5 linked regions of the Macaca fascicularis genome follow. The protein of the gene in region 5 purifies or fractionates together with the protein of the main gene of each other region. This does not show direct contact. Links are inferred from orthologs where the notes say so. Each region holds a gene or a part of one and is shown on either strand. Other genes may lie near its edges. The genes, in order: CUL2, CCND1, TOP1, CDK5RAP3 and CDKN2A.

What was found.
Region 1: the proteins of CDKN2A (region 5) and CUL2 purify together in Homo sapiens (affinity purification with western blotting; 3 studies listed by BioGRID, with this or other methods). This does not show direct contact. The link is inferred for Macaca fascicularis from reciprocal best matches to the Homo sapiens genes CDKN2A and CUL2.
Region 2: the proteins of CDKN2A (region 5) and CCND1 purify together in Homo sapiens (affinity purification with western blotting; 3 studies listed by BioGRID and IntAct, with this or other methods). This does not show direct contact. The link is inferred for Macaca fascicularis from reciprocal best matches to the Homo sapiens genes CDKN2A and CCND1.
Region 3: the proteins of CDKN2A (region 5) and TOP1 purify together in Homo sapiens (affinity purification with western blotting; 3 studies listed by BioGRID). This does not show direct contact. The link is inferred for Macaca fascicularis from reciprocal best matches to the Homo sapiens genes CDKN2A and TOP1.
Region 4: the proteins of CDKN2A (region 5) and CDK5RAP3 purify together in Homo sapiens (affinity purification with western blotting; 3 studies listed by BioGRID). This does not show direct contact. The link is inferred for Macaca fascicularis from reciprocal best matches to the Homo sapiens genes CDKN2A and CDK5RAP3.

Annotation. Positions count from the first base shown.
Region 1 is NC_088383.1:35,862,076-35,867,865, reverse strand, and holds the start of CUL2 (cullin-2), read left to right. Parts: upstream 1-2,498; 5' UTR 2,499-2,682; intron 2,683-2,728; exon of another isoform or gene 2,729-2,930; intron 2,931-2,970; exon of another isoform or gene 2,971-3,213; intron 3,214-5,790.
Region 2 is NC_088388.1:5,017,147-5,023,167, forward strand, and holds the start of CCND1 (G1/S-specific cyclin-D1), read right to left. Parts: upstream 3,790-6,021; 5' UTR 3,632-3,789; coding exon 3,434-3,631; intron 1,904-3,433; coding exon 1,688-1,903; intron 1,102-1,687; coding exon 942-1,101; intron 1-941. UniProt on the Homo sapiens protein: Regulatory component of the cyclin D1-CDK4 (DC) complex that phosphorylates and inhibits members of the retinoblastoma (RB) protein family including RB1 and regulates the cell-cycle during G(1)/S transition.
Region 3 is NC_088384.1:97,227,275-97,232,497, reverse strand, and holds part of TOP1 (DNA topoisomerase 1), read right to left. Parts: intron 2,587-5,223; coding exon 2,492-2,586; intron 2,275-2,491; coding exon 2,125-2,274; intron 1,089-2,124; coding exon 986-1,088; 3' UTR 1-985. UniProt on the Homo sapiens protein: Releases the supercoiling and torsional tension of DNA introduced during the DNA replication and transcription by transiently cleaving and rejoining one strand of the DNA duplex.
Region 4 is NC_088390.1:58,752,123-58,757,345, reverse strand, and holds part of CDK5RAP3 (CDK5 regulatory subunit-associated protein 3), read left to right. Parts: intron 1-250; coding exon 251-361; intron 362-1,376; coding exon 1,377-1,455; intron 1,456-2,381; coding exon 2,382-2,470; intron 2,471-4,134; coding exon 4,135-4,340; intron 4,341-4,707; coding exon 4,708-4,879; intron 4,880-4,981; coding exon 4,982-5,004; coding exon of another isoform or gene 5,005-5,047; exon of another isoform or gene 5,048-5,131; coding exon 5,132-5,223. UniProt on the Homo sapiens protein: Substrate adapter of E3 ligase complexes mediating ufmylation, the covalent attachment of the ubiquitin-like modifier UFM1 to substrate proteins, and which is involved in various processes, such as ribosome recycling and reticulophagy (also called ER-phagy).
Region 5 is NC_088389.1:76,949,569-76,955,420, forward strand, and holds the start of CDKN2A (cyclin-dependent kinase inhibitor 2A), read left to right. Parts: upstream 1-2,234; 5' UTR 2,235-2,258; coding exon 2,259-2,384; intron 2,385-5,810; coding exon 5,811-5,852. UniProt on the Homo sapiens protein: Acts as a negative regulator of the proliferation of normal cells by interacting strongly with CDK4 and CDK6. This inhibits their ability to interact with cyclins D and to phosphorylate the retinoblastoma protein.

The sequences.
Region 1 (5,790 bases), on a different chromosome or scaffold from region 5:
TTTTAGGGAGGAACTTAGCTTTCAAGTTAAACCATAAACTAACTTCCTCCCCAAATTAAGTTGGCCTATGCCCAGGAATGACCAGGAACACCTTGGAGGTCAGAAGCAAGATTAAATCAATGAGGTCAGATTCCTCTTACTATCATATTTTGCAAAGGCAGTTTCACCATGAAAAATGCAGGTAGTTCAGCCTGTAAGTCAACCACACAAGTGCTTGTCTTCAAGACAGTCATCCCACTTTGGCATGCAAAAGTGTATGTGTATGTACCATTTCTTCACCTAGAGTGTTAGAAAGACTTGTATTCAAGGGCCAAAATTTAATAAAATTAATGCTTCTGCTTCATCCAGGATATTCCTAAATCAATAGTCTTTTTTTTTTTTTTTTTTTTTTTTGAGACGGAGTCTCGCTCTGTCTCCCAGGCTGGAGTGCAGTGGCGCAATCTTGGCTCACTGCAAGCTCCTCCTCCCGGGTTCACGCCATTCTCCTGCCTCAGCCTCCCGAGTAGCTGGGACTACAGGCACCCACAACCGCGCCCGGCTAATTTTTTGTATTTTTAGTAGAGACGGGGTTTCACCGTGGTCTCGATCTCCTGACCTTGTGATCCGCCCGCCTCGGCCTCCCAAAGTGCTGGGATTACAGGCGTGAGCCACCGCGCCCGGCCCAATCAATAGTCTTAAAAACTGGGAATGTGTGGCAGTGAATACAGCGATCCAATGACCACCCAGACAGGTTGGTGGCACTGTCTTGATCCCTGCTAAGGCATCAATAGTGTCCCTATTCCTTTGTACCATCAGTACAAAAACAAACTCAGTCAAAAAGACAGAGGAGGCCAGGCGTGGTGGCTCACTCCTGTAATCCCAGAACTTTTGGGAGGCTGAGGTGGGCAGATCGCTTGAGCTCAGGAGTTCCAGAGCAGCCTGGGCTACACAGTGAGACCCCACGTCTACCAAAAATACAAAAATTAGCTGGGTGTGGTGGCGCACGTGCCTGTAGTCCCCACTACTTGGGAAACTGAGATGGGGCGCTCGCTTGAGCCCAGGAGTTTGAGGCTGCAGTGAGGTATAATCGGGCCATCGCACTCCTGCACTCCAGCCTCAGGGACAGAGGGAGACCCTGTGTCAAAAACAAAAACAAAACAAAACAAAAACCGGGGGGGGGGAGGCCTGGCACGGTGGCTCAGGCCTGTAATCCTAGCACTTTGGGAGGCCGAGGTGGGTGGATTGCCTGAGCTCAGGAGTTCAAGACCAGCCTGGGCAACATGGTGACATGGTGAAACCCTGTGTCTACAAAATACAAAAAATTAGCTGAGTGTGGTGGCGGGCTTCTGTAATCCCAGCTACTTGGGAGGCTGACACAGGAGAATCACTTGAATCCAGGAGGCAGAGGTTGCAGTGAGCTGAGATCATGCCACCACTGCATTCCAGCCTGGGTAACAGAGCAAGACTCTCTATCCAAAAAAACAAAAACAAAAAAGGACCAGACATGTTGCATTGTTAACAAACTAGTTGTTAACCTTGTGACCTCTGTAAAGGTCTCAGGGATTTCCAGAGGTCTGGGGACCACACTTTGAGAATCACTAGATTAAAAAGGAGGAAACACGGGAGGAAAAAAAGGTCACATAATGGAAACATATTGTTGAATTGAATTTAGTGTATAAAAACTCTTTAATGAAATAAAGAGTATAGACTTCAAGTACTAAGAGAAGCTAGAAGAGGAGGGATCCCTACAGTCCCTACAGAAGACTGTAGGGATTGATCAGGTCAGGAGGCAGGGTTTTAAATGGGCCTTGAAGGGTTGGTGCAGTTTGGAAGGAAGGGATGGGAGGGAAAAGCTTGCTGAATGGTATAAATGAACAAGACCCTGATGGTGAGCTCTTGAGGATATGAAAGGCAAAAAAGCATTACGGAGGGGCTTTTGTTCCCCTGTGGCCCTGCATATATGAGGAGGTGATGAGTAATTCTACATTTTTGTCAACTTTACCGTTTAAAACTCCAAGGGAGGAAAACCCTTCAAACTGATAGGCTTGGGGCTTGGTGAAGGTGGGCTATTAGTGACAAAGATGTGAAGTTTCTTTATCGAAAATACATGTATGTCCAAGAAGTTCTCTGTAGATAAAAACTAACTAGAAAAAGAGTTTGTCAGAGAGGAGAAGTAGTTTTACTAATATATTTTTGATCATTTGCAAAGCCCATGGAAGTGTGTGGCAAGACGATTGTGGTGTCTTAGGATTCACAGAGGTCTGAAACAAGGAAAACATACTTCTGTTGAAAGCACCATTCCAACATATTGTTATTATCAGCCCCTGGACTAACGGGTAGTGAGTGGGTACTGTGTCCATCAGCTCAGCGAACCGCAATTGCCTCATTGACAGCAAGCCCAGCAAGGAATCACTTGGAATATTAATTTTCGTGGCCTTTCGCAATCACATAAAGCTTGGCTCCCTGCGCTTGCCGTAATGCGGCCTCTACCATTGCTTTCCGGCGGCGGGGGGGGATTTGGCAGCAGCGGAAGAAGGAGACCGGAGGGTGTGTTTTGGGGAAAGCCGGAGGCAGAGGAGGACGATTGTTTTACGAATCCCGTGATCGGCCCGTCCTTCTCCCCTTTCCCCCCTCCCTACCGCCCCTGTCCCGCCGGGCAGCGGTGGCGGCCTTGGACTTCGCTGTCTTTCCTCGCGGAGACAGGTGAGTGTCGGCGCGCGGGCTCCCCGGGCTTCGCTCCCCACCCCCCGCGTCTCCGGGGCCGGTGGCGGCGGCCGGCCGGGGAGGCGGCCTCGGCGCACAGTAATGGCAGCGCTGTGAACAGGGGAACGCGAGCTGACAGCCGCCGCCGCCGCCTCCGCCCACCTTCCTCGCCGGGGCTTCGTCTTTCACTCCTTCGGGCTGCCTCCCCCTCCCCTTGTCCCCTGCCCCTTGCCCTGCTTCTGCAGAAGGTAACCCCGCTGAGGGTCGGGGAGCCGGGCTGCAGGCGCCGGGAAACTTCCCTTCCCGGTTAATGGGTGGCGGGGCTGGGGCGGAGGAGAGGAGTTGGGGGCGACGAGGTGTGGGGAGAGGGATGAAACGGGGAGGCCCGGTAAGATGGTATCCCGTAAGTGACCTCGGCTCCCCAGAGCGCTGACCCCTAAGCCCTGCCACCCCCTGGACTGGATCCCGGGCCTCCCCAATCCGATCTTGGCCGCCTCTCCCGCGGCCCCATTTTCCTCCGAAGGAGGGAAGGTGAGAGTGCGTGTACTCTTCTAAATATTTACGTGCTCACACGAATACACAACTCTGTGTGTTTGTGTGTGTGTGGGGGGCATCTCATGCATCCTTACCACGAGTGTTTTCACTTTTGTTTCTGCAGACTGCAAAGATTGATAGCTTTGGGGAGGAGTATCCTACGTGCATGCTAGCTAGACCTCTTGTCTCAACACTTAGGGTCTGGTGAAATAAGATCCTCACAGGCTTTCTAGCACTTGCTTACCCTCTAGGGAGTCTGGACCATTCCCTACCATTACGTGCAATCAAATAAAACATCTGTGAATTGCAGACTGTTATTAATGTTAAGCCCACATCTTTGCCCCATGGATTAATATTAACAGTTGAAGGCCAGTACCCTGGGCGTTTAAATTTTGAAGATAAGATGCAAAATATTAACATTCGCTATAGATTGTGACTGTTCAACATAAACGTCTTTGAACTAGACCTGGCCCAAGCCTACCTTCGTAGTAAAGTATGGGAAATAATCACTTTGATCTGATTGACAACTGACTACATAATAATCGCTTAAAAACATTCAAAACACTGTTGCCTACCCTTTAGAATCTTACATCCCTTTTCAAAACACATGAACATAAATTAGCTATACTTTGCTTCTTTTGCCCATATACAGTATCTGGAAGATGCGTACAAAAGAGTCACGTGAGGTAACAGAAGTACACAGTTTTTTTGTTTTGAGATGGAGTTTTGCTCTTGTCGCCCAGGCTGGAGTGCAGTGGTGCCATCTTGGCTCACTGCAACCTCCGCCTCCCGGGTTCAAGCAATTCTTCTGCCTTAGCCTTCCATGTAGCTGGAATTACTGGCATATGCTACCACGCCCGGCTAATTTTGTATTTTTAGTGGAGACGGGGGTCTCACCATGTTGGCCAGGCTGGTCTCGAACTCCTGACCTCAGGTGATCCCCCTGCTTAGGCCTCCCAAAGTGCTGGGATTACCGGCCTGAGCTACAGCACCCAGCCCACAGTGTTTTGAATTACTTGTTTTTTTCAGTTGCTGTTTATGAGTTGGGGGAACATTTCTACAATGTGCATGCACATAGCGTAGGAAAAATTCCTTTTCAATTGCCTTTTGAGTATTTGGATGTTCTCCTGCATCTGAAATACTCTCCATTCTCCATCCTTTCTGGTGGCTTTAAGTGTTCTATAATTGTGAAGATTATCCATGTCTTTTACCCTCAGCAGTTTGTCACTAGATTAAATGTTATGGACCTTCTTTAAAGTCGTTTTTGTGTTGTCTGTCAGTTGACAAATATTTATTAAGTACCTGGTTTATTTGTCAAGCAGTGCTGCAGGCATTAAAAATACAAGGGTAAACAAGACACATTACATTTCTTTTTTTTTTTGAGATGGAGTCTTTCTGTCACCAGGCTGAAGTGCGGTGGCACGATCTCGGCTCACTGCAACCTCTACCTCCCAGGTTCAAGCAATTCTCCTGCCTCAGCCTCTTGAGTAGCTGGCATTACAGGTGCATGCCACCACGCCCGGCTAATTTTTGTATTTTTAGTAGAGACTGGGTTTCAACCTGTTGGCCAGGATGGTCTTGATCTCTTGAGCTCGTGATCCACCCTCCTCAGCCTCCCAGAGTGCTGGGATTACAGGCGTGAGCCACTGTGCCTGGCCGACCCATTAAATTTCTATCCTCGTGGAGTGTCAATTCTGGCTTGGGATGGAGAGACAGATGGTAAATAAGAAGTAATCTCAGAGAATAAGTGCTGTGTGGGAAATAAGGTAAGGAGTTGTGGTAGTAATTGGGGGATTACTTCAGATACTGTAACCGGAAAAGACCTTCCTGAGGTAAAGTTTGAAATTCTGAGGGAAAAGTTTTCCTGTTTTAGGGAGGAGCAAATGGAAAAACCCTGAGGTGCTATCAAACTTGGATCCAACAAACTGAAATTGGCTTAAGGTGGACCCTTATAGAGATTAAAGGTGGGTCCTAGCCAGGGGCTGGATCATGTTGGCTTTTGTTCTTATGATACATTAAAAGGCTTTTGGAACTCTTCTAAACTGGGAGTGATAAGGTCTGATTGAGAATCAGACTCAATTGGAGAAGAGGAGAGATGCAAGGAGACCAGTGATAAGAGCAGTGGCTGTGGAGGGTTAAGGTACAAGTGAAAGGTTTTGAGATTTATTTTGGAGTTGAAGATACTTATTGAAATTGTCATGTTTTAGATGAGCATGCAGTGGGACAGGGGTCACTCCCGGGTTTTTGGCTTCCGCTGGAGAATGATGATGCTGTGTACTGAGATGAAGAAGGGTGGGGGGAAGCAGGCTGTTGTATGGGATGGGGTTGGGTTGGACATGTTAAGTTGGATCTCATTGTTCAAGTGGAGGTGAGAAGTAGGTGATTGGAAATAAGTGTAGAACTTAGTGAGAGGTTGAGGAGTGATTAACTCATTGAACAAGGGCTTCTCAAGCACCAGCTTTAAACCAGATGTGTGGATATAGTAGTTTAAAAATCTCTGGCTTCATGGAACTTAACTTCTAGTGAAGAGAGAAAGATGGATATGGAGAGTCCTCAGCATTTATTTATTGGTAT
Region 2 (6,021 bases), on a different chromosome or scaffold from region 5:
GGCCCCCTGGGCCTTGCGGCCTAGGTCACCCAGAGTGAGCCCCCAAACAGATGTGATGACTGAGGCTTGAGCAAAGGTGGGCCACAGCAGAGGTGGGTGGGATGGGGACATACCCCCCCCCATCAGGGTAACCAGGCTTCCTGGGCCAGGAAAGGAGGCAGTCACACGGGGGTCAGAGGCAGGGCTGGGGACAGCAGGAGGCAGCACCCTGTGTATGTGCGTGTCTGTCCCCACTGGGTTCTGGGGCCAGGGCCATGTCAAGGAGGGGCCTCTGGGGCCATGCCAGGGGAAGTGAGGACTGGGTGCTTCTGCTGCCTACGGTGGCGGCCCAAGCTGAGACTGCTCTGAAGCACCCCCCAGGGCTCAGCTGAGCCCGGCTGGCTGGCAGCACCCCTGGCAGGGCCTCAGGCAGCAGAGCTCCTCTGCTGGACACCCCTGCACTCGGCTGCCCAGAGCACGTGGTGCAGGCGGGCCAACAGCTCTCCCCGCCCCTGGAGGCGTCTCTGGCAGGTGGCCCAGCCTGGGAGAGGCCAGGAGGGGGCCCTGCAGCTCAGGCTCCTTAAGGACACAAGAAGGGCTGGAGGTGGGTGGGGAAAGGAGGCGGCCCTGCAGCCAAGGTAAACCCCTTTGAGCATGGAGTGGCCACAGGCTGCCTGGCCTGGAGGATGAGGCCACAGAAGCTGGACACAGGCAGGCCGAGCTGTCCACACCGATGCCCAAGGTACTGCATGGTGGCCGTGAGGGAGCAAATCCCCTTCCATCCAGCACAACAAATAATCCTGGGCCTCTGCTCACCAGAGCTGGAAGAGCGCTTCCCAGCGCAGGAGGGAGCCTAGGGACATCTTCCCAGACATCACCCCGGTGGAGAGCGAGAAGCCGGCCAGGGTCACCTAAGGAGCTGGCTCTCCAGCGGAGGCCGGGGGCTGCTGGGCCTACCCTACCTGTGGCACAGAGGGCAACGAAGGTCTGCGCGTGTTTGCGGATGATCTGTTTGTTCTCCTCCGCCTCTGGCATTTTGGAAAGGAAGTGTTCGATGAAATCGTGCGGGGTCATGGCGGCCAGGTTCCACTTGAGCTTGTTCACCAGGAGCAGCTCCATTTGCTGCGAACACAGGGTGAGCGGCCATCAGGGGAGGTGCGGGCCGGCCCGGGGGCGCGGGGAAGCCGGCAGCATGGGGGCCCGGGCCATGCAGCACCTCCCGCTCAGAGCACTGGCCCCTGCGTCTCGTGCGGTCCTGGAGGTGGGAGGGGAGGGCTGGCGAATGATGGGGGTGGTATCGGGGAGCCGGGGCAACACGCGATCCCAGATCAAAACAGAAAAGGTGCCCGCTGCGTGAAAAGACTCTGCAAGTGGAAACAAAAAGACCTCCCACCACCTGAAACAGAAGGCTCAGTGCGGAGCGCGGCGCTCCTCGTGCAGCCGCTGGAGGGCGCGCGCCGCCCACTTTTCGGCCACACTGCCGGGCGCGAACGCGGTGGGAGTCGCAGGCAAGCGACTTGGGGGCGGTGGGACGGGGGCGGCTAGGATCCCGCCCGCTCCCGGGACAGGGACGCCCGGCGGCGGGGCCGCCCTCCCTGGGAGCAGATATGTCAGAGGCGGGCCGGCCGCCACTGCCTGCACCTTCCCCGGCCCCGTGATCCTGCGTGCGACTCTCGGGGGGCAGGGGGCGGCGGGGTCCCGCGGTTACCAGCAGCTCTTCGGGCCGGATGGAGTTGTCGGTGTAGATGCACAGCTTCTCGGCCGTCAGGGGGATGGTCTCCTTCATCTTAGAGGCCACGAACATGCAGGTGGCCCCCAGCAGCTGCAGGCGGCTCTTTTTCACGGGCTCCAGCGACAGGAAGCGGTCCAGGTAGTTCATGGCCAGCGGGAAGACCTCCTCCTCGCACTTCTGCTCCTCGCAGACCTGCGGAGGCACGGGGCCCGTGACCGCCGCCGCCAGGTCGCGCCGCCCCACCCCCGCCCCCGCACCCCCCCATCGCGCTCGGCAGGACCGCCAGTTCTGAAGGGCGCGGAGGGGTGGGGGCCGGGGGCGGAAGGACCTTCCTGTGATGCGCCCCCTCCCCCGCGCGTCCCCAGTACCCACCCTCCCCGAAACTGAAAGGGAAAGTCCCCGCGAGGCTGGCACGGTGGGGGCGGGAGCGGGCACAGCTGGGCGGCGTGCGCGGCGGCGCGGGCTGCCAGCCCTGGGGACCCCGGCCCGCCCTGGAGCTCCGTGGTCCCTCTGACTGAGGGTCGACACCCACTGGGGTGCGGGGCCGCGGAACGGGCCGCGGGGTTGGGCGCCGCGCCTGCGAGACACAAAGGTGGCGTCCCAGGCCGCCGCGCCGCATTTCCCCAGACGTCATCTTTTCAAAAAATATTTAAAAATATTAAAAAAATAACTAAGTGCATAAAAAAACCCTGAAAATGACCCTCGGGCGACCCTTTACCCAGGCCGAGGGTCGGGAGTTCGTTACAGGCTCCGGGGGGAGCCCCAGGAATTCAAACTCCGGGGCCCCCCTTCCCCCTGGGCGCGGGCGGCGTTTCCCTCTCGCAAGGGCACCACGCCGCACTTTCAAAAATTATTTAAAAATACTTGCGGGCCCCTCAGGCGCCCACCGAAGGTCTGAAAATGTGCTCCCAGGCCCCCGGCTCCCTCAGAGAAGGTCCCCCAAGCCGAGATCCCTGCAGACGGGGATCAAGCCCTGGCGTCTTGGGGGCCACGCGACCTTGCAGCTCGGCGTGCTCTCCGGCCCTGGCTGCCCATTTGGGGCGCCCCGGGACTCGCTGCTTAAACAAAGGGCCCCCCTTCCCGAGCGGGGTCCCCCCAAAACTCCCCATGCCGCGTCCCTGCGCCCCTCCCGCGGGCTCCCGGCGGCCGCGCGGCCCCTAGCTGCGGCCCCAGCGCCCGGCGGCCGCTCCCCGCCCCCACCCTGCCCCCAATTATTAATAAACACTTTTGCTTTGCAATAAAAGAGCAAAGATGGCGCATAATACTGGCACGAGCGGCCCTTGCATACGTGTCCATGGATATTAATTTAAAAATCAAATCTATGCCCCCTCCCCCCGGAGTTGGCGGCTCTCGGCCGCAGCGGCCGCGAGAGGAGGCGCAGCCGGGCTGGGGCGCAGGCGGGGGGCACAAAGCGCACTCAGCCTGCCAGCCCGCACCCTCGGGCCCATTGGGGTGCCCCGACACTGGCTTCTCCCGACGGCACCCCTCCCCAACCCCCTTCTCCCCTCCCACGAAACGCAACTTATAGCACCCCCACCCCCACCCCTTCCTGCTTCAGAAAATACCCACAATTTTTATTTTTAAAATGCGGATCCCTAGCAACACCACAGCAAACTTCAAAGTTCTAGCGGGAGAGAAGGGAGGGGGGTGAGGAGCAAAGAAACGTGGGTCTGGGCAACAAGTTGCAGGGAAGTCTTAAGAGAGCCGCCCAAAGCCCCGCACCTCCAGCATCCAGGTGGCGACGATCTTCCGCATGGACGGCAGGACCTCCTTCTGCACACATTTGAAGTAGGACACCGAGGGCGCGCAGGTCTCCTCCGCCTTCAGCATGGCCCGCAGCACCCGGTCGTTGAGGAGGTTGGCATCGGGGTACGCGCGGCGGATGGTTTCCACTTCGCAGCACAGGAGCTGGTGTTCCATGGCTGGGGCTCTGCCTGGGCAGCTAGGGAGGGCTGTGGGTCCGGGCTGGGTCCGCGCTCGGCTCTCGCTTCTGCTGCCCCGCGCTCCCTCGCGCTATTCTGCCCCTCGCCGGAGCGTGCGGACTCTGCTGCTCGCTGCTACTGCGCCGACAGCCCTCTGGAGGCTCCAGGACTTTGCAACTTCAACAAAACTCCCCTGTAGTCCGTGTGACGTTACTGTTGTTAAGCAGAGATCAAAGCCGGGCAGAGAATGGGAGCGGGAGGGGGGCGGGGGCGGGCGCAGGGGGAGGGGGCGCGGGCGCCAAACGCCGGGAGCAGCGAGGGGCAGAGCCCAAAAGCCATCCCCGAGGCGCCGCGCCTGCCCTGCGGCGGAGTTGCCCCCGTAGTCCGGTTTTCATAGAAATGCAAATCGCCCCGCTGCAGCCTTTCTCCCCGCCAGGGAAGAGGGGTGCAGGGGGCCCCGTCCGCCTCGAGTGGGTTCCCCGGGATTTAGGGGGTGAGGTGGAGGTGGCTCTGCAGTAGGGGACCACTAGGAAGGCCGGCAGGCCACACGCAGCCTGGGGAGACCACGAGAAGGGGGGACTCTAGGGCGCGGCGACACCCCATATCCAAGCCGGCAGAATGGGCGCATTTCCAAGAACGCCACGAGGGCACCCACGGGCGGACAGACGGCCAAAGAATCTCAGCGACTGCATCTTCTTTCATTTTCATTAACACGTGTAAATTTCAAGAACTATTTAGCATACAGGGACGGGGAGGACCGGGCACACAACCCCTGTGCAAGTTTCATTCCGGCGCACAGGGGCGTCGTTGCAAATGCCCAAGGGGGTAACCCTAAAAGTTAAAGGAATTTCAGCTTAGCATGCGCTCGCTCAAAAAATAAAATAAAATAAATGCCCGAAAATTCCAGCAGCAGCCCAAGATGGTGGCCAGCATTTCCTTCATCTTGTCCTTCTAGCCTGGAGACTCTTCGGGCTGCCTTCCTACCTTGACCAGTCGGTCCTTGCGGGGATCCCCAAATGCACCCCCTCCCTTCCCGTGCCGGCAATTTAACCGGGAGAAACACACGTCTGAATGGAAAGCTGAGAAACAGTGATCTCCGTTCTGACTCATTTTTTTAATTAAAAAAGAAATTAAATTGCTGGAAATATTAGTCGCCTCAGCCTGGGACAAGACCACTGGAAGGTTCCTAATTGGTTTTGTTGGGGGTGTAGACGTCCCTTCACCTTTAGAGTTTGCCCTGGGACTAAATTCGTGAGCATGAGGGGGCTGGCAGGAGCGGGCATAATTCAGAACAATTATCAATTAAACAAATGAGTGTACTGATCTGATTTTTAGCAAAATCGATAGGTGTTCGTGGTTTCATGAGAGGGTCCCCACTACCGCAAACTTAAGCAGATGTAAATTAAAATACATAGTTTTTAAAATAACAGGTTCTGTCTCTTTGGTGCATTAAAAAATAAAAGGACATTTTACTGTCTTAACTTTTGTTTTTGTTATTTTAATAGTACCTGCCCCAAATTAAGAAAACTGTTCATTTACTTCCTTTTGAATATAGTTTAGTGTCATCAAACCACCGTATCCTCTTAACAGTAAAAGCTCAAAGAAAACGGATAGAAAAAGTCCCCTCCCCTTCGCCAGGGAGCTCACAGCAAGATGCGACCCCCCCCACCCCCCACCTTTCAGGGTGAATTCCTCCCGTGCCCCCTCCCCCGCCGGGAATTAGGATTACTAATATTCCGGGTCCTGGGGGGTAATTACCCCCAGATTCCGCATGGGGAGCGATGGGTGGCCCCAGCAGGGAGCACCCACGGTCGTGTCCCCCCCACTCCCCGAGCACCCATAATCGCTTTGGCCCCAGCATAGCCAAGCCTCAGAGCATCAGCCCGCGCACGAGGGCGGCCCAGCTGCTTTTTCATTCATAAAATCCCGACCCGGCGGCCGCCTGGATGATTTATGGGGCCCGGAGCTATCACCCGGCCTCTCCCACCCCGGGGGTCGAGGGGCCCCGAGCCCCGCGTGCGCCCTGGCCCAGCCCGAGGCGCGAAGCGGGCCGAAGTCGGCTAGGGGCAGCACGGCATAAAGAGGCTCGCCCACTCCGGCAAAACCGGCTCTGGGTCCAGGAGGGAGCTTCACCCCCCCATCCCGGGCGCAAGACAGAGGAAACTGGAATTAGCATGAGCCAATGGGGGCGCGGCGCTGTTACTAGGCGGACCGGGCAGATCTAGGCTAGGAACTTCGTTGATTTCCCGGCTCAGGGACGAGCGCAAAATTGCAAGCCCGGCTAGCGAGCGTAAAGAGCCGTCCAGGAACCCGCGGGGGAGGCGCTGGAATTTGGGGCCCGGCGGGGAGCGCCAGCTGTCCAGCCTCCACCTGGGGGAACCCTGCTTA
Region 3 (5,223 bases), on a different chromosome or scaffold from region 5:
ATTTTTTACACAATTACAAAAGAAAAAATAAAAGCCCTAAAATCTTGATTATTTTTCTTTTTTGGACCAAATACTCATTTTCCTCTAAATTTATTGACCTGTGGAACTTTTTATACAATAAAATCTTTCAAGTGAAAGATTAGGGTTAAAAACAAAAAGATGGATATCTTAAAGGGTACAGTGAATGCTCAGAACAAAGGATGATGGGAAAATGGTTTCAGTCACTGATTATTTCATTATCCTTAGACTCACTCGCCCTTCATCCCTCCCCAACCCCAATCTACACGATCTTTAAGATCAAGAAAAAGGTTTAAATATTTTAAAATAATTAAAAATAAAAATTCACATTTAAAAAGGAACACTCAAGTCAGGAAATATTTTCCCATCATGCTTTTCTGTGAACAGGTGTCTGAACCAAAACACTGCCAAAGCCACAACTGCTTCAAGTTTAATGAAAATTGATCCCCATGACAATAGAGAGTGACATCTCTAACAGGTGCGCTGGGTTTTTTGTTCTACTTAATTTTAAATTCCTGAAATGGGGGAGAGGGGAGGGAGTTTAGGAATTTATTTCTATTAAAATATAGAAGTTATTGCAAAACCCTAACTGTAAAAACGCACCAATATAATCGGACTTTGCATACAGTAGCTAAGAGAATCCAAACATTTCAGTGAAACAGTGAATTTGCCTGGTAGAACGCTGACAAATTCCCATTCACTTGCCCTCTTGAAAATAAAAACAAAATTCAAAACAAATCATACAGCTAGAATTTTGATATCTGAAATATTTTTAAATAAGTTGTCCATAGGACAACTGGCTCAGCTCTCCCTTATAATATCTCCAGGTTTATCTTTTCGCAAAGATGTTGGTTTGTTAAGACTTGCTGCCTCTCTCCCCCAGGCACGAGGGCAAGCGAGGCTCAGTTTATCCATCTTTCCCAAACCACACTGTTCCTTTTCACAGAACCCTGCCTCTTGAGACTGGCTAAAACTCGTAGTCTTCATCAGCCATGTCAATGGCCCAGGCAAACTTTTCCCGCTGGGTTTTGTTGTAAATCTTCTCAATTGGGACGCCCCACTTCTTGCACCTGCAAATAAAGGAGAAATAAGGGGGATTAGGGTGACTCAGCAATGGCCCATATCTGAAGCTCAGGGTCAGATGTTCCATCTTCTCTTTCACGTCTGTCTAGTGAGGATGCAAATTAATAGTGCACCAAGCATGTTCTAAAGGTTTTATGTGATCAACTCATTTAATCTTGGCAGTGATCTCTAAAGTAGGTGCTTCTGCAGATGTACAAGTAAAAAAGGTACAGATGAAGAAACTGAGGCAGAGACGTTAGGTAATTTACTGATTTTCTCAAACAGCTAGGTGGTAAGTGACCTGAAATTTGAACCCAAGCAGTTTTTCTCCATGTTCTTAACCCTATACTATATTGCCTTTTAAGAGCTAACCAAACCTCTAGCACCAAACAAGGCAAAACGAGCAGAAAGAGGTACAAAAGAGTTAGGTGGAACCTTTAGCCCGGACTAGCAAGTGCCATAGGGGAGGATATCTCCACCTATGCTCAGAACTTAACAGCTCAAACTAAACATCTTCCAAAACAAAGCCACTTATTTCAGATGTTATGTGACAGTGTGTGTGACACACAGAGAGAAACCTAATATTTATCTGCCTTTGTTAAAGACCCCTCTGCCTCTCTGTGTAAGTTGCTCAGATCTCTATTCTCATCTTTATCTCTTGTTCCTACCTTCAACTGCAAAAAATTTCAACGAAAAGTTTTGTTGAAGGGTAGAGTTGAATGGGCTCTTTCCTATTTTGCCAGAAGCTAAGAGTTTCCATTCCTGTCCTAAAGTTCCATAAGGAATAGGGATGGAACCTGCCTCTTAAAAACATAACATACACTACAAGGCAGTATGACAGCACTGACCATTTAGGAGCAACCAGAATGTTGCAATGCATCTACAGACAAGGTTCAGCAACCAAAGTAACTTGTACACAGCTGAAGCCAGAAGTTTCCCCATAGGACTAGAAGTGTGCAGCTTAGGAATGGCATGTGAAGGCCACCAGTGCCCTCCACCTTTCTCAAGCTAGCAGCAGGAGCTCAAGGAAGGTTCAACACTTACCAAGCCACTGTGATCCTAGGGTCCAGATAATTGAGTTTGGAGGTTCCCAAGGCAATTTGTTTATTTTCCTCTCGGTCTGTGGCTTGAACTTCCAGCTTCATCAACTGTTCCTCCAGTCTCTGCACAGCCTTCTTCTTTGACTCTACTACCCTAGAAGAATAGCACAGTCCTCAAGAACCAGGCCTGGGCTCTAAACAAGAGCACACTGTACCCATGCTGCCACTTTGAGTCAATAAAAGCCCTAGTACAGAGATTTCCAAAAGACATCCCTCAGAAACCATAGAAAAGCCAGGGCCCCAGGACCTCTGACAGATGCTGCACACACTTTTCCCCACCCGCCCCAACTTTTACAATACCAGGTACGTACTTCTTGGTCTTTGCATCCTTCATGACCTTGGCATCAGCCTTAGCACTTTTCAGGTCTCTCCGGGCATCTGCTAGCTGTTCCTTCTTGGCATCAATCTAGGGGAAATAATAGTGGTAAGGTTATGAGCTGTAGAGGAAAAATGGCTCCCTCAAGACAAGGTGAAACCTAGATGTTATCTGGACCAAGCTGTCTCTGTCAGTGGTTTGTCAGATAAAAACACCAAGGGTGGCTTCATGAAGGCAGGGAGAAGATGCACAGGGACTACTGAATTCAACTATTTGTTCTTCAGTGATCCTGCAAGAAACAAGGGTTCTACAGCATAGTAACCTAGGGGCTCAGGGAAAGGAACCCGCTGGGGCTGGGAATCTGGGTGCTGATCTTTCCATCAGAGAACACTCTGCTGTCAGACATCTGGGAGAACGGCTACAAATGACAGCTGTTTATCAACTAGATCCTGTGCCAGTTTTTAGCTTTCATTCCAAGAACACTGTAGGAGCTACTCTTTAGGAAGCTGAGCCAGGATACTTGCATCTACTGGGCAACCCCAGCTCATTCCTCAGATCCCACCAGTACTCTGGGAAGGCGGCGACAGCTTCTCAAGGAAAATGGATGCACTGAAGAGAGTACTCAAGGGGCTACAAACTGGCAATTAAAAGATACCCAGGAAGCCAAACAGCTCAGCCAGTCTGTCCCAAACCAGGACATGGCAGGGCCTAGCTTTGGCATTCTGTTTTTAAAAGGAGAGAGGTTGCCGGGCGCGGTGGCTTATGCCTGTAATCCTAGCACTTTGGGAGGCTGAGGTGGGTGGACCACAAGGTCAGGAGATTTAGACCATCCTGGCTAACATGGTGAAACCCCATCTCTACTAAAAATACAAAAAATTAGCCAGGTGTGGTGGTGGGCGCCTGTAGTCCCAGCTACTCGGGAGGCTGAGGCAGGAGAATGGCATGAACCTGGGAGGTGGAGCTTACAGTGAGCCAAGATCACGCCACTACACTCCAGCCTGGGTGACAGAGCGAGACTCCGTCTCAATAAATAAATAAATAAAATAAAAAGGAGAGAGGTCTGAGGTGGGAAGGACCTTAGTTGTCACTCAATGGATGTGAAAACACTTTCAGCTGTGGAGCTTTTTTTCCCAAGTGAAATCTCGTGGAATCCATATCTATAAGGGAAGAGACAAGGGCAGTTTCAGCCTTTCTTGCTTGTTAGAATCCTTGAAGCACCACTGGTGAGAAAGTTCTTAGATTCCTGCTTAGAGACAGCAGTGGGTAACAACATGGAGCTAGAGCCCCTGTCAGTGAGCTCACGCTGCTCTGAGGACAGAAGAACCCCATATCTATGACCATCTAGCTGATCTGTGAGGTTAACACAACCTCCACAGAGTAAATAACATGTCTGACACACACTGGGCTGCTCACTGAGCCCAGAATTGTTTGTTAAATACACACAGCCCAAGACTGGAAACAGAGGCCACCATTGTGAGAGAATCACTAAATATGTTTTACTATGAATGGCTTACTTCCAATATCTATGTTGTCCAAAGCCAAACTGAGGGGACTGATTCTATATACAAAAGCGTCACAGACACCACTAGCCAGATTCTTTTTAGGATAGAAATGTAGCAAACCACAATCTTTTAACCATTTCTGTGAATGCTAAATTGGCAGGCTATGTCAAATTCTCTCAAAGCATCAAAGACTCCATTGATTCACTTGGCAAAAAGGGGCGTGTGTTTGCTTTGTGGGCACACAGGAGAGGAATCCTGGGCTTGGAGGGCTCGTCTGGCAGGCAGCCTGGGCTGCCCAAACAGTGGTTCCAGAGTGAGAGCAACAAAAGACCTCCTCATACTCCTGGGAGGGGTCTTCCTGAATTAGGTAAACAGCACCTGAATATTCATGCTTTTATTTCTGGCTTGGAATGATAACATGAGGAGAATAAACAATTCCAGATGACCAGCATTTAACAGAGTGGCAGCAAATGTGAGCTGCTAGGATGGGCCATCTATAGAGTTCTTTGCCTGCCAATCATATGATCCAAGGACTCAAGTGGTCTATGGATGTATATTCATTCACTGTGGACGGGTACATCTCTTCAAGAAAGCCAGATGGTATCTGTAGCATAAATTATAGGTTGTGTGTACCTTTTGAACCAGCTGTATTACTCATGGGTACTTATCTTAAGGAAATCTCAACAAATGGAAAACATTCTGAGCCTTAAAATGCAGTCTCATTCCATAGTAGTAGTTCTTAAACTCCAGTTGTACAAGTATAGAATTCCATGAACTTGGATGAGAAAAAAATTACATCTATAATTTCAATAACCTCCTTTTGAAATTTATTTATATTTACTTTTAAATTTTTAATAGAGACAGGGTCTCACTCTGTTGCCCGGGTTGGTCTTGAATTACTCAGCTCAAGTGATCCTCCCACCTCAACCTCCCAAAATGCTGAGATTACAGGTGTGAGCCACTGCACCCAGCCTCTAGCTGAAATTTAGCATTTCTTCTTCAGTTATGAATATGGGGAACATCCCAGCACTTTGGGAGGCCGAGACGGGCGGATCACGAGGTCAGGAGATCGAGACCATCCTGGCTAACATGGTGAAACGCCGTCTCTACTAAAACATACAAAAAACTAGCCAGGCGAGGTGGCGGGTGCCTGTAGTCCCAGCTACGCGGGAGGCTGAGCCAGGAGAATGGCGTGAACCTGGGAGGCGGAGCTTGCAGTGAGCTG
Region 4 (5,223 bases), on a different chromosome or scaffold from region 5:
CGATCCTCCCAAGTCAGCCTCCCAAGAAGCTGGGATTACAGTCATGCGCCACCACTCCTAGCTAATTTTTTATTAACATCTTTGTAGGGATAGGGTTTTGCCATATTGCCCAGGCTGGTCTGAAACTCCTGGGCTCAAACAATCCCCTCTCCTCAGCCTGCCAAAGTGCTGGGGTTACAGACATGAGCCACCACGCCTGGCCCTTTTTAAATCCATCTTCCATGAGCTAACACTCTCTTTCCCTTTCCAGATTGACTGGGGCGACTTTGGGGTAGAGGCAGTGTCTGAGGGGACTGACTCTGGCATCTCTGCCGAGGCTGCTGGAATCGACTGGGGCGTCTTCCTGGAATCAGATTCAAAGGTGAGGAGGCCTTCTCAGTCTGTCTCTCTCATTACTACTCTAACCATCAGAAAAGTGTCATTTGTGTCTGTAAAGGCATCACTTGAAGTTCATAGCTCTAAGACCAGGTATAGTCCAAGGGAGGCAGAGTTTCACACCTTACATGTCAGGGTTTTGTTTTGTTTTTTGAGGCAGTCTCATTCTGCCCCTCAGGCTGGAGTGCAGTGGCGCAATCTCGGCTCACTGCAACTTCCGCCTCCCAAGTTCAAGTGATTCTCCTGCCTTAGCCTCCCAAGTAGCTGGGATTATAGGCACCCACCATCACACCCTGCTAATTTTTGTATTTTGTTAGTTTGTTTGTTTTTTGAGACAGTGTCTCACTCTGTCACCTAGGCTGGAGTGCAGTGGTGCGATCTCGGCTCACTATAAGCTCTGCCTCCCAGGTTCATGCCATTCTCCTGCCTCAGCCTCCTGAGTAGCTGGGACTACAGGCGCCCGCCACCACACCCTGCTAATTTTTTTGTATTTTTAGTAGTGACGGGGTTTCACCATGTTGGCCACGATGATCTCGATCTCCTGACCTCGTGATCCACCCGCCTCAGCCTCCCAAAGTGCTGGGATTATAGGCGTGAGCCACCACGCCCGGCTAATTTTTGTATTTTTGATAGAGTCGGGGTTTCGCCATGTTGGCCATGCTGGTAACTCCTGACCTCAGGTGATCCACCTGCCTTGGCCTCCCGAGGTGCTGGGATTACAGGCGTGAGCCACCGCACCCAGCCCATGTCAGAGTTAAATTTTGGTGTCCTTTTTCCTGCCTGGTGTCTGGTGCAGGATGTAGGGGTATAGGCAGGTGGGAACACTACAGAGCAGGGATGATGGGCCCTACTGCCATCTTTGGCACCTAACTCAGGGCTGCAAGTCCTTAATAGAGTTGGAACGTGCAGCCATTGACCTCATCAAGGGCTTTGGTTTATTCTGGCTCCTTGGCTCAAGAAAATTCTCCCACCATTGCTGTGGTTCTTTGCTCTCCTTCCAGGACCCTGGAGGTGATGGGATAGACTGGGGTGACGATGCTGTTGCTTTGCAGATCACAGTGCTGGAAGCAGGAACCCAGGGTAAGTGCACTATCCCCTGCAGCCCTGGCAAAAGTGGGGTGCTCAAGGGCCCCCAGGTGTCTAGAAACAGAAAAAAAATGCAGCACCAAGATGAGGCTTCTCGCACGTTTAACTGTTTCTGAAAACCTTGATGAGGATGTGAGTTGAGGGGGACCAAGAGAGGTTCTTTCTTTTTTTTTTTTTGAGACAGAATTTCACTCTTGTTGCCCAGGCTGGAGTGCAATGGCGTATCAGCTCACCGCAACCTCCACCTCCTGGGTTCAAGCGATTCTCCTGCCTCAGCCTTCCAAGTAGCTGGGATTACAGGCATACACCACCATACCCAGCTAATTTTATATTTTTTTAGTAGAGACAGGGTTTCTCCATGTTGGTCAGGCTGGTCTCAAACTCCTGACCTCAGGTGATCCGCCTGCCTTGGCCTCCCAAATACTGGGATTACAGGTGTGAGCCACTGCGCCTGGCCCAAGAGAGGTTCTTAAAAGTTAAGAGCTTAGAAACTCTCAACTTTTTAGAGACCAAATGTGGGCCAGCTGTTTTGATAGGAGGGTGGTAGGGGGGTCAGGGGGCACTGGAGTGTGACGTGACCCCCGCCCCAGCAGCCGAGAAAATGTAGTGGTGTCTGAGCCACTAGAGGGCGGTGCAGGATGAAACTTTACTTCCTACCGTCCACCAGAACAGAGAACCCGCCTTTCTACCCCTCTGAACCCAGCTCTAGTCCTTCTCTCAGGCTGGGGGTTGAAAAGTGGTACCTGATTAGAGCTGAGACACCTGGGACAAGGTACCCTTCTCCCTTGGATTGGAACAGGAAGTGGCTTTAGCGCAGTGAGTCTGTCCGTATTGATCCTCCAGGGCTTCTCAAACTTGAGGGTCTTTTCCTTCTCCAGTCCTCTGATCCTTTATCACTTCTCTGTCTCTCTTCCTGGCAGCTCCAGAAGGTGTTGCCAGGGGCCCAGATGCTCTGACACTTCTTGAGTACACTGAGACCCGGAATCAGTTCCTTGATGAGCTCATGGAGGTACTGTCATCTCTGGGAGATGCAGGGGGAGGCATGGCACCAGCACAGGTGGCCTCACTCCGGACGCCTGACCTGACCCTCCTGTTTGTGTGAAGGGTGTGAGTGCTTTCTGTGTCCTGCAGCAGGAACCTCACATATTAGATGCCTCCCGTTCATCCAGTTACTTATCAGGTACCTCCTAGGCACCTGGCACTGTCTTAGGCACCAGAACTTAGGTGGTGAATAAGACAGGTAAAGTCCTTGACCTCATGGAGCTTATATTCTAATGGGGAATGCAGACTGGAAGAAGATAAATAAAATTTGCAGGATGCTAGATGGTACTAAGTGCCACAGAGAAAAAGAAAGCAGGGAAGGATGACGAGATGTTGGGAAGGGCTATAGTTTTGTATCTGGTGGTCAGGGAAGGCCTCAGAGAAGGTGACCTGTAATCAAGACTGCAGGCGGTGCAGAGAGAACCATGCAGATGTCTGGCAGAAGGGCTTCCCAGGCAGAGAGAGCAACTGCAGAGGTCTCGAGGTGGGAGCAGGCCTTGCACAGTTGACCAGCAACATGGAGGCTGGTGTGGCTGAGGAGGGAGAGCTGGTGGGTAGTAGAAGAGCTCAGAAAAACAGCATCTGAACTTTGGTTTGCCTCTTAGTGAACTGGGAAGCTGTTGGAGGTTTTGGGCAGGTTAGGAACGTGATCTCATTTGTATTTAAGCACGATCCCTGTGGCTGAGGTGTTGAGCAGCCCAGCGTAAGGAGCCAGCATTCTTGGACCTTTGTTGTAGGGCTGGGAGGATGGGGTCCTGTCTTTGTTAATCTCTGTATCTGCTCCCTTCCCAGTAGCCTGCTGGTTCAGAGAGCCTCCTGAAAGTTCTGTCCTCACCCAGTTCCCTCCTCTTTCTGCCCAGAGGCTCCTCCCGGCTTCGAGGGGAGAGGACAAAAGATATCTGTCAAGTTTTAATGGCAGAATAGGATTGATAAGATAATGTGACTGGCTCTTGTATTCTTTTCAGCTTTGCCTTAATCCAGTGCTTCTCAAACATGTATTTCTGTTCCCTGAATCTCATTCCTCCCATGGAGACAAAATAAATATCTTCCCTGGGCAGAGAGAACCCTTTGAGTCTCTGTATTCTCAGTTATCTGATCCCAGGCTGGGAGAAAGGACCGAGGTCTGGGGTTAGGCTGAGAAAGGAGTGGGGGACTGAAGGGTGACAGTAGTCTCTCCGAGAGCTTACAGTGTTCAGGGGAAATAACCCCACCTTACCCAGAGTCTAGCCCTCATGTCTCATTTTTGCATTTCAAGTAGTCTAAGGGCTTAGATTCTGAGTTCTTTTCTCAGTTTGAACCAATTTATCTTTTTTCTTTCTTCCTTTTTTTTAAAAAAGAGTTTCTCTGTCACCCAGTTGAGTGCAGTGGAGCAATCATAGCTCACTATAACCTCGAACTCCTGGGCTCAAGTGATCCTCCTGCCTCAGCCTCCTGAGTAGCTGGGATTACAGGCATGCACTACCATGTTTGGCTAATTTTTAAAATTTTTGTAGAGACAGGGTCTCACTATTTCCCAGGCTGGTCTTGAAATCCTGGCCTCACGTGATCCTCCCGCCTCGGCCTTCCACAGTGCTGGAATTGCAAGTGTGAGCCATCAGGTACAGCCTGAACCAATGTTTCTTCTGTCCTCAGCTTGAGATCTTCTTAGCCCAGAGAGCAGTGGAGTTGAGTGAGGAGGCAGACGTCCTGTCTGTGAGCCAGTTCCAGCTGGCTCCGGCCATCCTGCAGGGCCAGACCAAAGAGAAGATGGTTACCATGGTGTCAGTGCTGGATAATCTGATAGGCAAGCTCACCAATCTTCAGCTGCAACACCTGTTTATGATCCTGGCCTCACCAAGGTCTGGCTTCCCCTTGATGCAAGGCTCTGCCATCTTGAGCAACTCTGCCTCCTTGTATTCCTCCTCTTGTTCCACGACCCCTTAGACCCCGTCCCTGCCTCCTGGCTGTTGCCATCCACTGGGGATAGGGGTTCTCTTTGGGGCAAGAGGGGGTGGTTTGATATATACAGGAAGAATCTGCTTGCTTCCTGAGTAGGACAGGGGAACTGGGAGTGGGTTTTCCTTAAAAGAAAGGAAAGGGTTTAAGGATATGAGGGTAAGCGGCCAATTGGGGGTTTGGTTTCCGAGCCTCTCACCTCCCCAGCAGCTGAATGGGAATGCTCAGGGTGCACAGCTACCCCAGCACTCACCTGAGTGCCCCGCACAGGTATGTGGACCGAGTGACTGAATTCCTCCAGCAAAAGCTGAAGCAGTCCCAGCTGCTGGCTTTGAAGAAAGAGCTGATGGTGCAGAAGCAGCAGGAGGCACTTGGGGAGCAGGCGGCTCTGGAGCCCAAGCTGGACCTGCTGCTGGAGAAGAGCAAGGAGCTGCAGAAGCTGGTGAGATGGGAAAGGGAGGCCTGCCAGTGGGAGGACTCCCAATCTGTGCAGAGCGAGGCCCTGAACACCCCTGCTTCCGCCCACTTGGTATCACTATTTCAGATTGAAGCTGACATCTCCAAGAGGTACAGCGGGCGCCCTGTGAACCTGATGGGAACCTCTCTGTGACACCCTCTGTGTTCTTGCCTGCCCATCTTCTCAGCCTTTGGGCTGAAGATGATAGCCAGGGCTGATGTTTTGAGGCCCTTCAAGGCAAAAGATCAGGCCGACTGGAAGATGGAAAGCCACAGGAAGGAAGCAGTACCTGATGGTGATCTTGGCATTCTTCATGTTCTCTACAAGAA
Region 5 (5,852 bases):
ATCAAGCAGACACTAAAAGTACAAGATATACTGGGTCTACAAGGTTTAAGTCAACCAGGGATTGAAATATAACTTTTAAACAGAGCTGGATTATCCAGTAGGTAGGTTAAGCATGTGCTTAAGGCATCAGCAAAGTCTGAGCAATCCATTTTTTAAAAACGTAATATATGTTTTTGAAAAGCTTAAAAAGTAATAGTCACAGGAAAAATTAGAACTTTTACCTCCTTGCACTTGTTATACTCTTTAGTGCTGTTTAACTTTTCTTTATAAGTGAGGGTGGTGGAGGGGCCCATAATCTTTTCAGGGAATAAGGTCTTCTTGATCTTTCTTTCTTTTTTTTCTTTTTTTTTTTTTTTTTTTTTTTTTTTTGAGACCGAGTTTCGCTCTTGTCTCCCAGGCTGGAGTGCAATGGCGCGATCTTGGCTCACTGCAACCTGCGCCTCCTCCTAGGTTCAAGCGATTCTCCTACATCAGCCTCCCAGTAGCTGGGATCACAGGCATGAACCACCAAGCCCAGCTAATTTTGTATTTTTTAGTAGAGACAGGGTTTCGCCATATTGGTCAGGATTGTCTCGAACTCCTGACCTCAGGTGATCCTCCTGTCTCAGTCTCCCAGAATGCTGGGATTATAGGCGTGAGCCACCGCGTCCAGCCTTTCCTTTTATATAATAGTGATAATTCTATCCAAAGCTTTTTTTTTTTTTGAATCGGAGTCTCATTCTGTCACCCAGGCTGGAAGGCGGTGGCGCGATCTCGGCTCACGGCAACCTCTACCTCCTGGGTTCCAGCGATTCTCCTGCCTCAGCCTCCTGAGTAGCTGGAATTACACACGTGCACCACCACGCCCGGCTAAGTTTTGTATTTTTAGTACAGACGGCCAAAGCTGGCCTCGAACTCCTGACCTCAGGTATCTGCCCGCCTCAACTTCCCAAAGTGCTGGGATTACAGGCGTGAACCACCGCGTCCGGCTCCAAAGCATTTTCTTTCTATGCCTCAAAACAAGAGTGCAAGCCAATCCTCAAAACGGATAATTCAAGAGCTAACAGGTATTAGTTTAGGATGTGTGGCAGTGTTCTTAACTCTTATATGTATTAATATACAACAATTCATTTAAACTCACAACACCCCTGTAAAGCAGGGGGTACCCATATTCCCTTCTCCCTTTATAACTAAGAAAAATGCAAAGTATTTTCAGTAGGAAAGAGAAATGTGAGGAGTGTGTAGGAGACAGGACAATGTGTAAAGCGGGTCTTTGGATCACTGTGCAACTCTGCCTCTAGAACACTGAGCACTTTTTCTGGTCTAGGAATTATGACTTTGAGAATGTAGTCCGTCCTTCCAATGACTCCATCTCCATTTTCCTATCTGCCTACAGGCAGAAATCTCCCCCGTATTAAATAAACCTCATCTTTTCAGAGTCTGCTGTTATACCAGGCAATGTACACGTCTGAGAAACCCTTGCCCCAGACAGCCATTTTACACGTAGGAGGGGAAGGGGTGGAGAAGGAGAGGGTAGGCCAACTCTCCAAAAGGAATCCTTTGAACTAGGATTTCTGACTTAGTGAACCCCGCGCTCTCGAAAATCAAGGGTTGAGGGGGTAGGGGGACACTTTCTAGTCGTACAGGTGATTTCGATTCTCGGTGGGGCTCTCACAACTAGGAAGGAACAGTTTTGCTTTTTCTTATGATTAAAAGAAGAAGCTATACTTTCCCTATGACACCAAACACCCCGATTCAATTTGGCAGTTAGGAAGGTTGTACCGCGCAGGAAGGAAACGGGGCGGGGGGCGGGGGGATTTCTTTTTTTCTTTTTAACTGAGTGAACGCACTCGAACGCGCCTTTGCTGGCAGGCGGGGGAGCGCGGCTGGGAGCAGGGAGGCCGGAGGGCGGTGTTGGGGGCAGGTGAGGAGGAGGAGCCCAGTCCTCCTTCCTTGCCAACGCTGGCTCTGGCGGGGGCTGCTTCCGGCTGGTGCCCCCGGGGGAGGCCCACCCTGGGGCGACTTCAGGGGTGCCACATTCTCTACGTGCTCGGAGTTAATAGCACCTCCTCCAAGCACTCGCGAACGGCGCCCCCCTGCCTGGAAAGATACCGCGATCCCTCCAGAGGAGTTGAGGGGGACAGAGGCCGAGGGGGCTCTTCCGCCAGCACCGGAGGAACAAAGAGGAGGGGCTGGCTGGTCACCAGAGGGTGGGGCGGCCGCGTGCACTTGGCCGCTGCGGAGAGTGGGAGAGCAGGGAGCGAGCAGCCGGGAGCAGCATGGAGCCTTCGGCGGACTGGCTGGCCACGGCTGCGGCCCGGGGTCGGGTAGAGGAGGTGCGGGCGCTGCTCGAGGCGGGGGCGCTGCCCAACGCACCGAATAGTTACGGTCGGAGGCCGATCCAGGTGGGTGGAGGGTCTGCAGCGGGAGCAGGGGATGGCGGGCGACTCTGGAGGACGAAGTTTGCAGGGGAGTCGGAATCAGGTAGCGCTTTGAGTCTGGAAAAAAGGGCTTCCTGGGGAGTTTTCAGAAGGGGTTTGTAATCACAGACCTCCTGCTGGCGAAGCCCTGGGTGCTTGCGAAGCCAAGGAAGGAATGAGGAGGCACGCGCGTGCCGATCTCTCGAATGCTGTGAAGATCTGAAGGGGGGAACATATTTGTATTAGATGGAAGTATGCTCTATCAGATACAAAACTTACGAAGGTTTGAGATAAAACGGGAGTCTTAAAGAAATGTAAGATGTGCTGGGACTACTTAGCCCCCAATTCACAGATGCCTGGATGGAGTTTATCTTTCTTACTAGTAGGGATTATCAGTGGAAATCTGTGCTGTATGTTGGAATAAATATCGAATATAAATTTCTGATCGAAATTATTCAGAAGCTGCCGGGCGCAGTGCCTCACGCCTTATAATCCCATCACTTTGGGAGCTCAAGGAGCGGGGGGATCACCTAAGAGTTCGAGACCAGCCTGGCCAACAGGTGAAACCCCGCCTCTACTAAAAATACAAAACTTAGCCGGGGGGTGGTGGCAGGCGCCTGTAATCCCAGCTACTCGGGAGGTTGAGGCAGGAGAATCGCTTGAACCCGGGAGGCTGAGGTTGCAGTGAACAGCGAGAGGGAGCCACTTCACTCCAGCCTGGGTGACAGAGTGAGACTGTCGAAAGAAAGAAAGAGAGGGAGATTAAAAAAAAAAAAGCATTCAGAAGCAACTACATATTGTGTTTATTTTTAACTGAGTAGGGCAAATAAATACATGTTTGCTGTAGGAACTTAGGAAATAATGAGCTACATTCATGTGATCGTGCCAGAAGTAATATGTAGTCACCATTTTGGGAATATCTGCTAATATTTTTACTGTTTTGCTATCTTTAGCTTACTTGATAATAGTTTATTTTGTGATAGAGTTTTCAATTCCTCATTTTTGAACAGTGGTGTTTCTCCTCTCCCTACTCCGGTTTTGTGAGGGAGTTAGGGGATGATTTAAAAGTAATTAATGCATGGGTAACTTAGCATCTCTAAAATTTTGCCAACAGCTTGGACCCGGGAATTTGGCTTTGTAGTCCTAAAACATCTTAGAAGAGACCTTATTTGTTTAAAAACAAAAAGGAAAAAGAAAAGTGGATAGTTTTGACAATTTTTAATGGGGAAGGGAGAAGAACATGTAGAAAAGGGGAAGTGTTGTTGGCTTAGAATCCTAACTACACTGGTGTTTAATATAGGAACACTTATTTGTATAATATTTTTAAATGCTAAATTCATATCAATTTATTATCAAATGGGTTTAAGCATCCTACACATTTTAATTCAATGAATTCATTTTCTTTTTGCTTTGGATTTATATCATGATTTAAATATTTACATATGGGTTACTTTTTAGGTTTTTCATTCTATGAAATATAATAAAAACCTTTAAGGCTAGTTTTATGACCAAGACAAAGAGAACTTCAGTGAACACACGGAACAATAAATATGCTGCAACATTTTGTCTTTCTTTTTGTAGCTGCAATTTGGTTTGCTTATACTTTCTCTTTGTCTCTTTGAAAACTAAGTCAGTTTCACTTTCTCAGGACAGCATTTAATAACCATAATATAATTTAGTATAATTCCTTGATTTAGGCAAATTATGCAATTTGTGTTTAGTATGAAATGTACCTAAAAATAAGTAATTCCTCTTTAACACAACCATCCTCAAGCTAATATAACAAATAACAGTTATCCTAAAATAAATTGTTTATTTCCACCATGCAACACTCAAATTTTAAGGTTGCTATGACTGGAGACAGTATTTTAAAATTCCTCTCTGGAAATGGCTTTGTTTCCAAGATGATTTAGGAACCAAAAAGGTGACCATCTCTTGTTTAATGAACTCTCAAATCATAAACCTGGGAAGCCTTTTCGTTTCCTATTGCTGCTGTTACAAATTACCACAAATGTGTTAGCTAAAACAAACAAAATTATTATTTTACAGTACAGTTCTAGAGATCAGAAGTCAAAAATGGGTCCACTTTGGGAAACTCTAAGGGACAATCTGTTTCCTTGTCTTTTCCAGCTTCTAGTGACCATCAAATTCCTTGGCTCATATTCCCTGTATTTTCTCTGTGGCCTGTGCTTCCATTCTTTTATCTTCTCTCTGACTGTGACCCTCTAATAAAAACACTTGGGGTTCTATTGAGCCCACCCTGAAAATTCTGGATAATCTCCCTCAAGACCATTACTTAAATCACATCTGCAAAGCCTCTTTTGCTACATAAGTTAATAAATTAACAGTTTCTGAGGATCAGGACATAGACATTTGTGGGGGGGGACCTTATTCAACCTACCACAGGAAGGAATTTTAGGGCTAGTCTAGCATTCTTATTTTATACTTGAAGAAATTGAATTTTTGGAATTGGAGAGCATTATGCTAAATGAAATAAGCCAAACACAGAAAGACAAATATCACATGTTCTCACTTATCTGTGAAATATAAAACAAATACATTCTTAGCAGTAAAGAGTAGAATGGTGGTTGCTGGAGCTGGGGAGGGGGGCAGTGGGAGGAATGGGGAGTGGTAATCAAGATACAAAGCCTCAGTTAAGATGGAAGAAATAAGTTTGATTTTTTTTGAGATGTGTTTCACAGCATGATAAATATAGCTAAATAGTAAATCCCAAATGCTCTCATTTGACAAAAATATCAAATATTTGAGATGATGGATGGGTTAATTAGCTTGACTTAATTCCACATTGTGTTCAAAGATCATAACTTCATATTGTACCACATAAATATATACAACTGTACTATGCCAATATGTAATTTTAAAACTAATTTAATGAAAAAGAAATTTAAGTTCAACGTTCCCAGAAACTAAGGGTAACTTAAAAGTTTTGTGAGAATTTGTTTAAAAAAACAAACAAACAAGTTTTCTCTTTTTAACAATTACCACATTCTGCGCTTGGATATACAGCAGAGAACAAAAAAAAAAAAAAAAAAAAAATCTCCAGGCCTAACATAATTTCAGGAAGAAATTTCAGTAGTTTTATCTCAAGGGAAATACAGGAAGTTAGACTGGAGTAAAAGTCAGTTTGTCCCTGCCCCTTTGCTATTTTGCCCATGCCTCACAGTGCTCTCTGCCTGTGGCGACAGCTCCGCAGAAGTTCAGAGGTTATAATGGAATTCAATGTGATAGAGAACTCGAGAAGGAAATTGGAAACTGGAAGCAAATGTAGGGGTAATTAGACACCTGTGGCTTGTGTGGGTGTCTACTTGGCGGTGAGGGGGCTTCACACAAGCTTCCTTTCCATCATGCCGGCCCCTACCCTGGCTCTGACCACTCTGCTCTCTCTGGCAGGTCATGATGATGGGCAGCGCCCGCGTGGCGGAGCTGCTGCTG